Linked DNA regions of Schizosaccharomyces pombe. The gene in region 2 interacts genetically with the main gene of each other region. Each region holds a gene or a part of one and is shown on either strand. Other genes may lie near its edges.

The links. Genes that interact genetically often act in the same process or in processes that back each other up.
Region 1: mutations in alp16 (region 2) and mzt1 are lethal when combined (synthetic lethality), as found in Schizosaccharomyces pombe (one study listed by BioGRID).

What each region holds. Positions count from the first base shown.
Region 1 is NC_003424.3:1,983,617-1,987,426, forward strand, and holds mzt1 (putative mitotic spindle organizing protein Mzt1), read right to left. Parts: upstream 1,993-3,810; 5' UTR 1,929-1,992; coding exon 1,734-1,928; downstream 1-1,733. Other genes in the region: SPOM_SPAC9G1.07 (Schizosaccharomyces specific protein), read left to right, coding at 1-591, 637-822; SPOM_SPAC9G1.08C (phospholipase), read right to left, coding at 952-1,677; PAK-like GC kinase Sid1, read left to right, coding at 2,141-2,257, 2,314-3,612; inp53 (inositol polyphosphate phosphatase), read right to left, coding at 3,747-3,810.
Region 2 is NC_003421.2:430,290-437,758, forward strand, and holds alp16 (gamma tubulin complex GCP6 subunit Alp16), read right to left. Parts: upstream 4,498-7,469; 5' UTR 4,386-4,497; coding exon 2,106-4,385; 3' UTR 1,975-2,105; downstream 1-1,974. Other genes in the region: SPOM_SPCC306.11 (uncharacterized protein), read left to right, coding at 499-1,350; ribosome biogenesis protein Rix1, read right to left, coding at 5,648-7,469. UniProt on the Schizosaccharomyces pombe protein: Component of the gamma tubule complex that is required for the regulation of both interphase microtubules and mitotic bipolar spindles.

The sequences.
Region 1 (3,810 bases), on a different chromosome or scaffold from region 2:
TGTTGGTCAACAGCTTATCAGAAGCAGAAAAGGAAAACAGCAAGCTATACCAATTCACCTGTCACACCGCCCATCAATGACAAAAATATTTTGTTACCGGAACAGTCTCCTTTATCTAATTTTTCTACGACCAAGATTTCCAGTATAAATGTTCCTTCAGATATACTTGATTTTTCTAATTTATCATCGAATGAAATTCCCAAGGATTATTCTTCTTCTACGGCTCTTTTAAATAATACAGTTGCTGTTAAACAGGATCACAAATTATCTGCAAATACTTTCCTTTCTTCCCCAGTCAAATTGATTGAGAGGGAAAGCAACAGTTGTTCTACAATTTCAATAAATAAAGAGGATGAAGTTGTTCCAAAATCACCACTAAGTTTGGATCGTAAAAAAGTTGATGAAGTCGAAGAACATTCATCAATCGCTAAACTTGACTCTGAAGAAAAAATTAGAGAAACGAAGAAAAAAAATTCATCAACGTCTCTTTCCCCGGATCCAACCTCTGATAATTTTGAATGGGGTTCATGGGTCAGTTCCCAAGATACCTCGAAAAACTCATCGAATTTAGCTTCTGCTTCCGTTGATGATGTAAGTGAAGAGTCTCAAGTTGAGCCAAATACTCTAATTTTTCAGAATTTTAGTTCACCTTCTACTTCATTGTCAGCTCCTAAAGACACTCCGGCTGTTATTCAATCGATCAATACTTCGTTTCTTAATAATGAGAGAGCAGGGCGTGGAAATATAAAAACAGTTGACCAAAATCAACTAATTAATAGAATTGTTGATAAGCTTCCGGATCTTAGTTATCTTGTCGATTGAAAATCTTAATGATCAAAAGGTAAACGTACTAATTTTAATCACATAATGGCTAGAGGAGTTATTGTTATATCTATGCCCAAATGAATATTAACTTTATTGTGAACAAATGTTAACTTAAATAAATCAATTCTAAAAAGATGTAAGAGGAATTGCATCTTCAAACAACGTGTTGTGAATATACAAATGTTTACTAATAGATTGAACGAATGTATACCATTCTCTAGGGGATGAAGGCATGTCAGTTTTATCATCACGATTCCAACATGTGAGGTGAAATGGTTTAAATGTTTTACGTAATCGCGATTCTTCATATTCGCTGCATGAACAATGCAATCGCTTTTCAAACAAATACACTGGAACATGAAATGGATGATTGGGCAAAGTTATGGATAGCGGTAGAGTACCTCCAAAGGAAAATATCCCTCCAAGCTGGTATTTAGTAGACAATTTATAACAACTATATAAAGCAACCATAGCTCCTTGACCAAACCCGAAAAAAAATATTCTAGAAGATAATATACCGTAAGAGAGTAGATTGCCAATTAAATTTGAAATCATCGTAAAACTTTTAGAGAAATCGGCTTCAGATTGCAGTTCCCCGTTTTGATCAAAATGGACATCCTCTCCCCACATCCAATTGCCTCCAGGATTTTCAAAATCTAATGGTAATCGATATGGTCCACGTAAGGAAATATAACTAGTGTTGGGCAACGGAACGTTCTTTGCCATATTTGCAAAACTCTTGTGAGAATCTCCAAGTCCATGCATTAAAATAACTACATTGTGAACCTTGTCTTTCCCTTCAATAATCTCTGCGCATGCATTTGAAGGTAGAACACTGTTTAAAGAAGACATTAGATAAAAGAAATACTAAACCCCGAGGTCAACTATTGAGATTAAACTTCTTGCCATTAACTTGGTTCTGTGTCAACAGTTTGTTCCTGAGCCATACGTATTTCCCGAATTATTTGAGCTATTGCTTCTGGGTGTACGTTGTTTTCACAAAGACTGATGCAGAGTGAAAGCGTTGTTTTATCAAGTTCAGTTCCAAGCAATGTTCCTATTTCGTATAAAACTTCTATTGTCTCTTTGGTAGATTCAGACATAAAACTCGATACTTTATAATAAACTAGTCTAATTATATATACTTCGTAACAAGTTGGTAATGTTAAGTTTACTGGAATAGGCGTCTCGGAGTAGCTCATTATAATCCTCTAAGTAATAAACAAAGTACTTCGTGGTGCATCTAGCTTGTGCTTGTAAAACGAAACCGAAAGTAGGCTCAACCTCAGATTTGAGCAGTCAAAATATTGATGAAATGTATCCTCTCAATGCTAATTCTTATACTCTGCTACGGAAATTAGGATCAGGTTCATTTGGGGTTGTCTGGAAAGCACGTGAAAATGTGTCTGGCGACATTATCGCTATTAAACAGGTAAGACTAATTAATTTTTACTCTTCTTTAGTATCACAAAAAACTTACAGTTGCAGATTGATTTAGAAACAGGTATTGACGACATTACCGACATCGAACAAGAGGTATTTATGTTATCGAATTGCAACAGTTCCAATGTAATTCAGTATTACGGTTGTTTTGTTGACGGATACACATTATGGATTTTGATGGAGCATATGGATGGAGGATCAGTTTCGGGACTTTTGAAAATGGGAAGGTTGAATGAACAAGTAATTTCAATCATTCTTCGAGAGGTCCTTTATGGGCTAAATTATCTTCATGGACAAAACAAAATCCACAGAGATATCAAAGCCGCCAATATACTACTATCTTCCTCTACCGGAAACGTAAAGCTTGCTGACTTTGGAGTTGCCGCTCAACTTTCGAACGCTGCTTCGCGTAGACACACGTTTGTTGGAACGCCATTTTGGATGGCACCGGAAGTAATACAACAAACAAGTTATGGTTTAGCTGCTGACATTTGGTCTCTTGGAATTACGGCTATTGAAATGGCTAACGGAATTCCGCCCCGCGCTACAATGCATCCAATGCGTGTCATCTTTGAAATTCCTCAATCCGAGCCTCCAAAGCTAGATGATCATTTCAGTCCAACATTCCGTGATTTTGTGTCCTGCTGCTTAGATCTCAATCCTAATATGCGATGGTCAGCTAAAGAACTCCTTCAACACCCATTCATCAAAAGCGCAGGAACTGTGAAAGACATTATTCCTTTGCTTGTTCAGAAGGAGAATAAATTATTTGATGATTCGGATCAAAGTGTATTGGAAGAAACCATAAATAATACTTTAAAGCCCTTTGAAGAACCAATTGCTGAAGGAAATGCTGACATTGAGGATTGGACATTTGAAACTGTAAAGAAATCTGACTCAACTGTGTTAGGGAATACTAGCATTCCTAAAAATTCCATCATCAGTTCACAAAATAAAGAGGAATTGCCTTCATCAATAAAATATTTAGAGAAAACTATAATGAGTGATCAAGCGACACCGCATCCTTTTTCCAAGTCATTGTCTGAAAAAGGTAGCTCTTATCATAAATCGTTGACTTCCGATTTTGCTATGAAACATTATATTAAGTCCACCATACGATCGATGTTATTAAATGATAAATTGTCAGCAACGCAGCGCTCATCTTTAGAATCTTTTTATACATCTTTCATTTCTTTAGATAAAAATCTGTCCTCAAAATTTGTTAACCAAATTACTCCAGACAACAGACTGCATCACAAAAAGCAAAAGCGGAGCCCCATATCACAACTACTATTTTCACGGTGGCTTGAAGAAACTGAGAAAAGAAGAAGTCTAAATGGATAGCTTACTAAAAACTCGTAAACAACCTGTTTACAGCATTCACAATTTTGTATTTAAATGAACTTATAATGGCATATTCTACTATAATTTAATCTACATAATATATATAAACACATCCAAACGAGAACTATTCGAAATCAACTTGACACTTGCTTTAAAGCATTTTGTACATTCCAGTTATTTCCAGACAAATATTGTTCA
Region 2 (7,469 bases):
ATTCTCAACGCTGATTGGCTGCTTCTCCAGCTTGCCACTGTAAACAAATGATGTCAGGATCGTCTAACGAACGAGGCTAAACTCGTATATATAAACATCGATCTGCTTCCCCATTGCGGTTTGCTATAAAATCTGGTCTTTGCATTTTGGCTGTTTTCCACTTGAAAACATCTTTTGTTTACATCGTTTGTCTTCCTTCTCTTAAGTTACTTTGTAAAACGTCGTCCCAGTGTTTGGGTGCTTCAGTTTGACAAAGCTCCTTGAAGTAGTTGAGTTTATTATCATTGTTCATCTTTCCTCCTTTTTAATCGATCCAAAAAGACTTCATCGTCTCTACATTTTTATTCCATATATTCTTATCGTCCTTACATTTTCTATTCATCTGATATCCCTTTCGTTCCATTATTTCCCCCTATTTTCAATTGCATTTTCCGTTCTCAAAATTATCGTCTCCAAAAATTACTTTACGTACTCTCACATTTTAATTTTATAAAAAAAATGTTTGCATTTGCCTCTTTTGCGATTTCGGCCATCTTTTTCCTTTGCTCGTTCTCCTATGTCTCGTCCATCAAGCTTTGTGGCATACCAGGTGCTCCTGCTTGTAAAAGGCGTGAGATTTCTTTATATAAGCGTGCAACTGACACATTTCCTGACTTGAGTTCTGCTATAGCTTCTACCTCCTATTATAATATTTCGGAAGGTACATATTGCCATGTAAGTGGCTCCAACCTTTGTGTTTCACCCGATGTAATTGCCATTTGCGCTAATCATAGCACTGTTCTCTTGAACTGCCCTACTGTGCTTGGTTATCCCAAGGGTCGTGGTTCCGCATGTGTTGAAACCAATTCTTCCTACGGACTAACTCGCGGTCTTTGTCAGATCGGATCCTCCAACTACTCCACTAGCGCTAATTCTTCCAACTTTGACAATGCAAATGTTATCAACGTGACCACTTCCGTTAGTTCGGGAAGTACGAGCACTCACAGCAAGCGTTCTTCCGGTATATCTTTAAGCTATACCAACATTGTTGATCAACCCATCTTATTCACTCGTGATTCCTCAATGGATTGGTCTTGCAACATGACTTTGTGTAATACGGATTACCCTTACTTGGTTAACACTTGCTTCAATGGCACCCAATACCCCGTTAATTGTAACTCTGCTTTGCGCACTCCATTTGGTGGTGCTACTTGCCGTAATATTGGCTATAAAGGTCAAGGTATTTGTGTATATACCAACGACAGTCGTATCCCTGTTGCCGATGACCATGTTATTGTTAACACTACTTCCAAAATAAATCCAAACATTACCAGTGTCTTTAACTACCGTGACAATGCCTTCTTGTGGTAAAGGATTTCGCATAGATTCCCTTTTTCTTTAAAAAAAATCTAAAATAAGGAACATGGGCACTTGTTCCTTACTTGCATGTCTTCCTTGCTAACATTAAATTATCACTTACCTCCTTCCTTTTTCATGCATTCCTTGTCCGTTTACCCTCAACTTCACCAAAGTGATAGGCGTCCAGTAAGATTTTTATCTTTTGGCTTTTGCCTCTACTCTTTTCTCAACATGTCTTTATTTGCACTCTTATATTTGCGTGAGGTATTTACAGATTTGTATCTTTTTTTTTTTTTTTGCATGCATTTTTTGAACGAGCAAATTAAGTGGGACATACTGGTATGTTCCACCATTAAAGCGCATATATTTTTGCACCAAAATAACTTACTAAACTACATTGCGTATTTTCCTGTGATCATGGCACTTTACCTTGATATGTTTGATCTTCAAACAATCAATCATAAGCTTGACTGTTCATTTCTATTTTGATTCCTTTTAATTCTTCATCCCTTTCTTTGTTAAATTAATTTCCTTTTGTTTGGCACAGGTTGTTTAAACTTAGATTAAGATATATCTCTAGTAAATACTTTACTCATGAATTTATCCAAATACTTCTTTACATTCTTTATCATTTTATGCAAGGAATTTTCTGTAAGTGTTGTGCTTATAAATTTTTTTCTGCTGTAAAATCGTATATTCTTCAAACTTAAAGGTGAGATTAGCATGTTTACACTCGTAAAAATCCGTCATCCGGATCTGGTTTTTTGTTATGACACTTTGATGGATGACTCCCAGAGTTTCATGGTATCAAACAACTCTTTGACCTTTTGATAAATTGCTTTAGTGCACTGCTCGTGAACTGAAGCCGCATTTTTAATTGCAGAATTTTGTATGTTCGTAGGACAGTCAGGAGAATATATGGATTTCAGTAATTTCGTAAAAGGCAACATACACTCTGGAATGTATATTGAAAGAAACTGAAAAAGAGATTCTTTCGTGCCTTGATACTTAGACCATGACATAATAGTTGTTTTTGTTACTATAGAACGATCTTTCAATTCGACAGATGATTCAAAGTCTGATTGAGCTTGAAAGAGATGTAAAACGTAAGAAAAAGTTTTCGAATAATAATTTAAAGAGTTATCAGTAAATAATATCCGTAAAGCACCTATTACTTGGCATTGGAATTGTAAATCAGGGTACACATCCTCAAATTCACTAACGCTCGCAGAATCCAATGTAAAAGTTATACTCTTAGATAAAGACCTGCTCAACCCATTTTTTTCTTTTTCCATAAAAATGAATTTTTTCAATCGAGAAATAAAATTATATCTGTCATCAGAGTTCAAGTCCTCAGCCAACTCATTACGGTCAGATTTATCAAGCCTTCTTGATTTTAACAGAGAAATGACATTATCAGAGAATTCATAATTTTGAAAAAGAAAAGTGGAATGAAAAAAATTTAAAAGATCAAACACCTGAAAATCGTTTTTTAAAACTTTATATGTCGAACGTAAGAAACTGAGAATAAAAGATTGTATTGGCTCAGCAATACAGCAGCAAACATTCAAGTTAAGCGGACAGACGTTGCGCACATCATCTGTAAATTTAAGTTGTAATAAATTATCGTTGAAATCTGGAGTCATGTTCATTTTAGCAAGCAGCGTTTCAAATTCTTCACTGTCATTATTGACGGAAGTTTGTTCCAAATTACCAAAAGAAAGCGAAGAAAAGTTGCAGCGCTCCTCTATTACACAAGCTTGATTTATGTCGTTGAAAGAATATGCGAACCGAATGTTCAAAGGGTTAATAAATTCTTTGTTGTTTTTATTAAATATTTCTTTTTGTTCCCTTATTAATGACAAAAATTGAATACACTGTTCAATGCTTACACAAAGTTCAGAAGGAAAAAAACGGGGAAGTGATAAGAACAATGAAGAATCAATGTGACCATACGCACAAGAAACTTTTAAAGCAAGCTCAAGCCTTTTGAAGTAGGGATTTGAGCAATATATCAAGCACTGTAGGGCAATGGGGTAAGATATGGTATTCTGACATGAACGCGCATAATCAAAAAGAAAATCTAACAAGGAATCTCCTTTTAGGTTTTGAGCCGATTTTATTAAGAAGTGTGAAATTAACTCAAAGAATGAAGAAAAAGAATTAACAAAGTTACTTAAACCAATCAGACCGAATCTACGGAACTCATAAAGACGAAGCCAACGCTGAAACTCCTTTCGATACTGCAAGACACCATTCACAATGAAATTTGATAAATAAAAAGAAATGTTGGTCTTGTATAAAGAGAATTCATTTAAAGCTTTTTTTATTAAACCCCCAATTGCAGAAAATTTCTGGACGATACTAGCAAAACATTCATCGGACATTCCTGAAACGGAGATGGTCGGATCGAGTTCAAATGTGCTTGAGGTTTTGTTCCATGGAAACACTGTGCTTTCAAATCCTTGTGGTAAACCAGCCACGCAATTGAAAATAGTTGCTAAAGGGTAAACTTGCAGTGCAGAAAATAATGGTTTCGGACTCCAATCCTGATTATGAAGAAAATAATCATATACCCGAGAAGGCGCTTCAGATATGAATGGAGATCTAGCTTCTAAATTTTTAAAATTTTCTCCATCCCAGCTAGGGCATGTTAGCAGAACTTTGTTTTCGACAGATAAATCGCTGGGTGATGAATCTGTAAGATAAGAGGGGGACACTGAGGATTTAGCTCTTTTTCTTTCTGAAGTAATTTCCTTAGATGCGCTTATGAGTTTGGAATTGGATGATGTCTCACACCCAGGCACAGCGGGTGTTAGTTGTTGATTTGAAATATCGAGAATGACATCTTTTCCCAACAGATCATCGTTTACTTGAAATGAAAAGTTTTGAAAGTATTCCGAGGAGTCAAATAACTTCCTCTTCAATCCTTCTTTTCCCTCAAATTTCGAAAGCTGCTCGACAAAATCAGAATCAAATGAATTTGGCGTAAGGTCGAAAACGTGGTTGCCGAACCATAACAAGTCGTTTTTCATAATTCCATCCATTCCATTTTTATTTCAAAATCATCTATTTTAGTGGTACATTTCAAGATCCAACTCCTTTACTGGAAAACACTCTTGTTATGAATTACTAAAATTTGGCAATATGTGTGTAGTTAATGTATAATGTTGTTAACGTAGCGAATTAAGATGACTTCTTATCTAGAACAGTCAGGATTAGAAGATGTGAATGAAGTATGCGTCTCTTAAACTAAGAAATGGAACGTTAGTAATTGATCCTAACATTGAAACCAATTCAAAAATCCGTACTCTCGTGGCCGTACAACAGAAAATACTGACATGGAGTTAAAGGTATCCAGGATGAATAAAACAGAATGATAAATTGAACAAAAACTATCAGTTGTTAAGGAATTACTATTGCACAATTGCATAATCTATCCAAAACGACATTCCAGCATTTAATTTTAAGAGAGTGCTATGTGGATAAAACGTATCCTTTATGGAACTATAAGAGCTCTTTTATGCTTCTCTGGTTAGTACATTTAGATTTTTTTAAAAAAAAGTTTATTGTACTATTCGTGATATTATGGTTACAGTATACCTCGCTGGCTTGATCGTTTATTGTCCAGAGAGCTCGCATGCGAGTCAAAGCTGAATGAATGGTATCTTCATATAAAAAAAGTCTATTTGGAGAATTTTGGATCCTTCAACAAATTTATTTGAAGTACTTAATGTTCTTTCTTAATTTTTCTCATAAAACCATGTGTCAAGCAATGAAGGATTTAAATATTGTTGGCAAAAGAAATGTTGCAATCACTAATTCAAGTTTGTTTAGAAGCTTGCATTATATAGTTATCGACTTTTCTTTTGCCTTTGGAAAGGGATATCTTCATTATTCTTAATGAAACAGTATAAAATTCTTTTAAACACTAGACTAGATAAGTTGTTTTAATTCTTTCTCAAAAAACATAAACGACAGTCTAACTCTAAAATAATCGGGATTTTTGTGACACCAATGGTATAAAAATGATTAATTAAAAATTTTTGCGGATAACACAAGACTTTGTACTTTGTATTACTGGAAAATTTAGCTAATTAAAAAGGAGAACACATAAGCAATGTATTCTGGAGGTCAAAATCAATTGATTTTAACCTCCAAATATCAGCTTGATGTACCTTTTTTGCCATGACGATAATACATACAGGACTTTATAAAAATCAGCTTGGATTAAATGACAACCTACTTATCTAGAAATAGAATTTAAAATAAACATTCAGTACCCCCAAATCCTTTTTATAAATTAAGACTAACTATCACTATCAGATTCCAAGTTTATACTTGGCAAAGAGATATTGTCTTCCTCCTCATCATCTTCTCCGTTTCCTTCCACATTAATAGAAGTCGTTTTCTCATCTACGACATCCGTTGTTTTTTCAAAAGTTTCGACGACTGAAGAAGTTGTGTTTCCATTTTCATCACCATTTATGTTTTCAATTTGGCTTGAAACTACACTAGTAGGTCGGTCAACAAAGTCAACGTCTATAGCAGTAAATTTGGTTTCAGTGTCCTGAGAATTGTTTAATGCAACATTTGTAGTCTCCTCAACCTCAACATCTCCATGCAACAGTGAAACAGTTGTTTCCTTGTTTTCCGAAACAATGTTAATGTGATCAGTCCCGTGATTAATAGTTGAAGGTTGAGAAGAGTTGATTTCACTACCTTCTTCATTTCTGTCACCCTCATTAGAAAGAACATTAGACATAGTCAGCTCTGATTCGCTTCTTTTGTTCTCGGAGGTAGCTGTAGAATTATTCTGTAAGCCTGTATCTGTAGATGCAAAAGACTCTTTGATCCCTTCAATTTCAGTGGAATCTGTAATCGACTCTGTTTCAAAGGGAGGATTTGATGGAGCCAAAATACTACTTTCTTTATACTCTGATTGAGAATCCACCTGGGGTGGAGAAATATGCGATTGGTTTTCAAGAGAAACAGGCTCAAATCTTGACTCAAACGTATTTTCAAATTCGCTTGGTGAAAGATGTTTTTGCAAAGGTGGGAACCTAGGATGAATCAGCGATTCTATTGTTTGCATCGATGACCTTGCGTGTGAAGCGACCAGAGGATCTGGATGTACAAGCCCTAATGGACCAGAAATTATACGTATTGCATGAGGTACTATCACTGCTTGTGAATCTCCCGGTGATAAAATTGACGCAAGGAGTAAATTATGCATAGATATCAAAACTGTTGAGGTAGGGTTAGACAAAGATATCTGCAAGGTGCAAAGATCTATTTTGGTCCGTAATAAACGTGGTAATGCTATTGAATGAGTCAAAATGGATGCTAAAAAAGAAAAACAACAATCCATGACATCTGAATCATAAAGCTGATGAGACTCTTCCGAACTCATAAGTGTATCTCCTGCTTGACTTTCAGAAAGTGTTTTTCGCTTTTTTTGAGAATGCCCACGATTTTTAGAGAACTCTATGGATTTGGATGCTAAACCTTTAGAGGAATTAGCAAGATATTCTAATACCAGCGTTACAATATTTTCGTATTTTGAAAGAGGGACATTCATATGTGTCACATCCAAAAACTTTGAAAGTAACTTTAAAGAAGAGCATAAAACCCCAGTATGTGTTGACTCAGAAAGTAAACAATCATTTAATGAATCCAGGTAAGAATCAAATGAAAGAATGATAGCTGGAGGAATTACCACAAAAAGCTTTAAGGTTAACTCATTAACTAGCGTATGCAAATGAGGAAGGACCATGAATAGCAAAGCTTGAACTGAACTTTCTACGCTTTTAACAGGCAATGAAAGTTGTACAGTATAAACACGTTGAATTAAATCCTTCAAAGCATTTATGGGAAGCAAAACGATTTTATCCGTCTTTGTACTTAAAAAAGAAATTAAAATCAAGTTTAGAGTTCTGCATCTGTGTAAAGCTTTCTGATAAGTTTCTTCGTAGTGGCCTTTGAGTTTTGGAAACATCAAATTCTCTTCACGAGTTGGGTATGTTTGCGGTTCTATAACAAATTGAAACAAAAAATCCAAAGTAAGATGATATTCCTTTAGGATTGAAATAATACTTTGCTTCCAATAGTCTTCAAAATTTCCTTTCCCC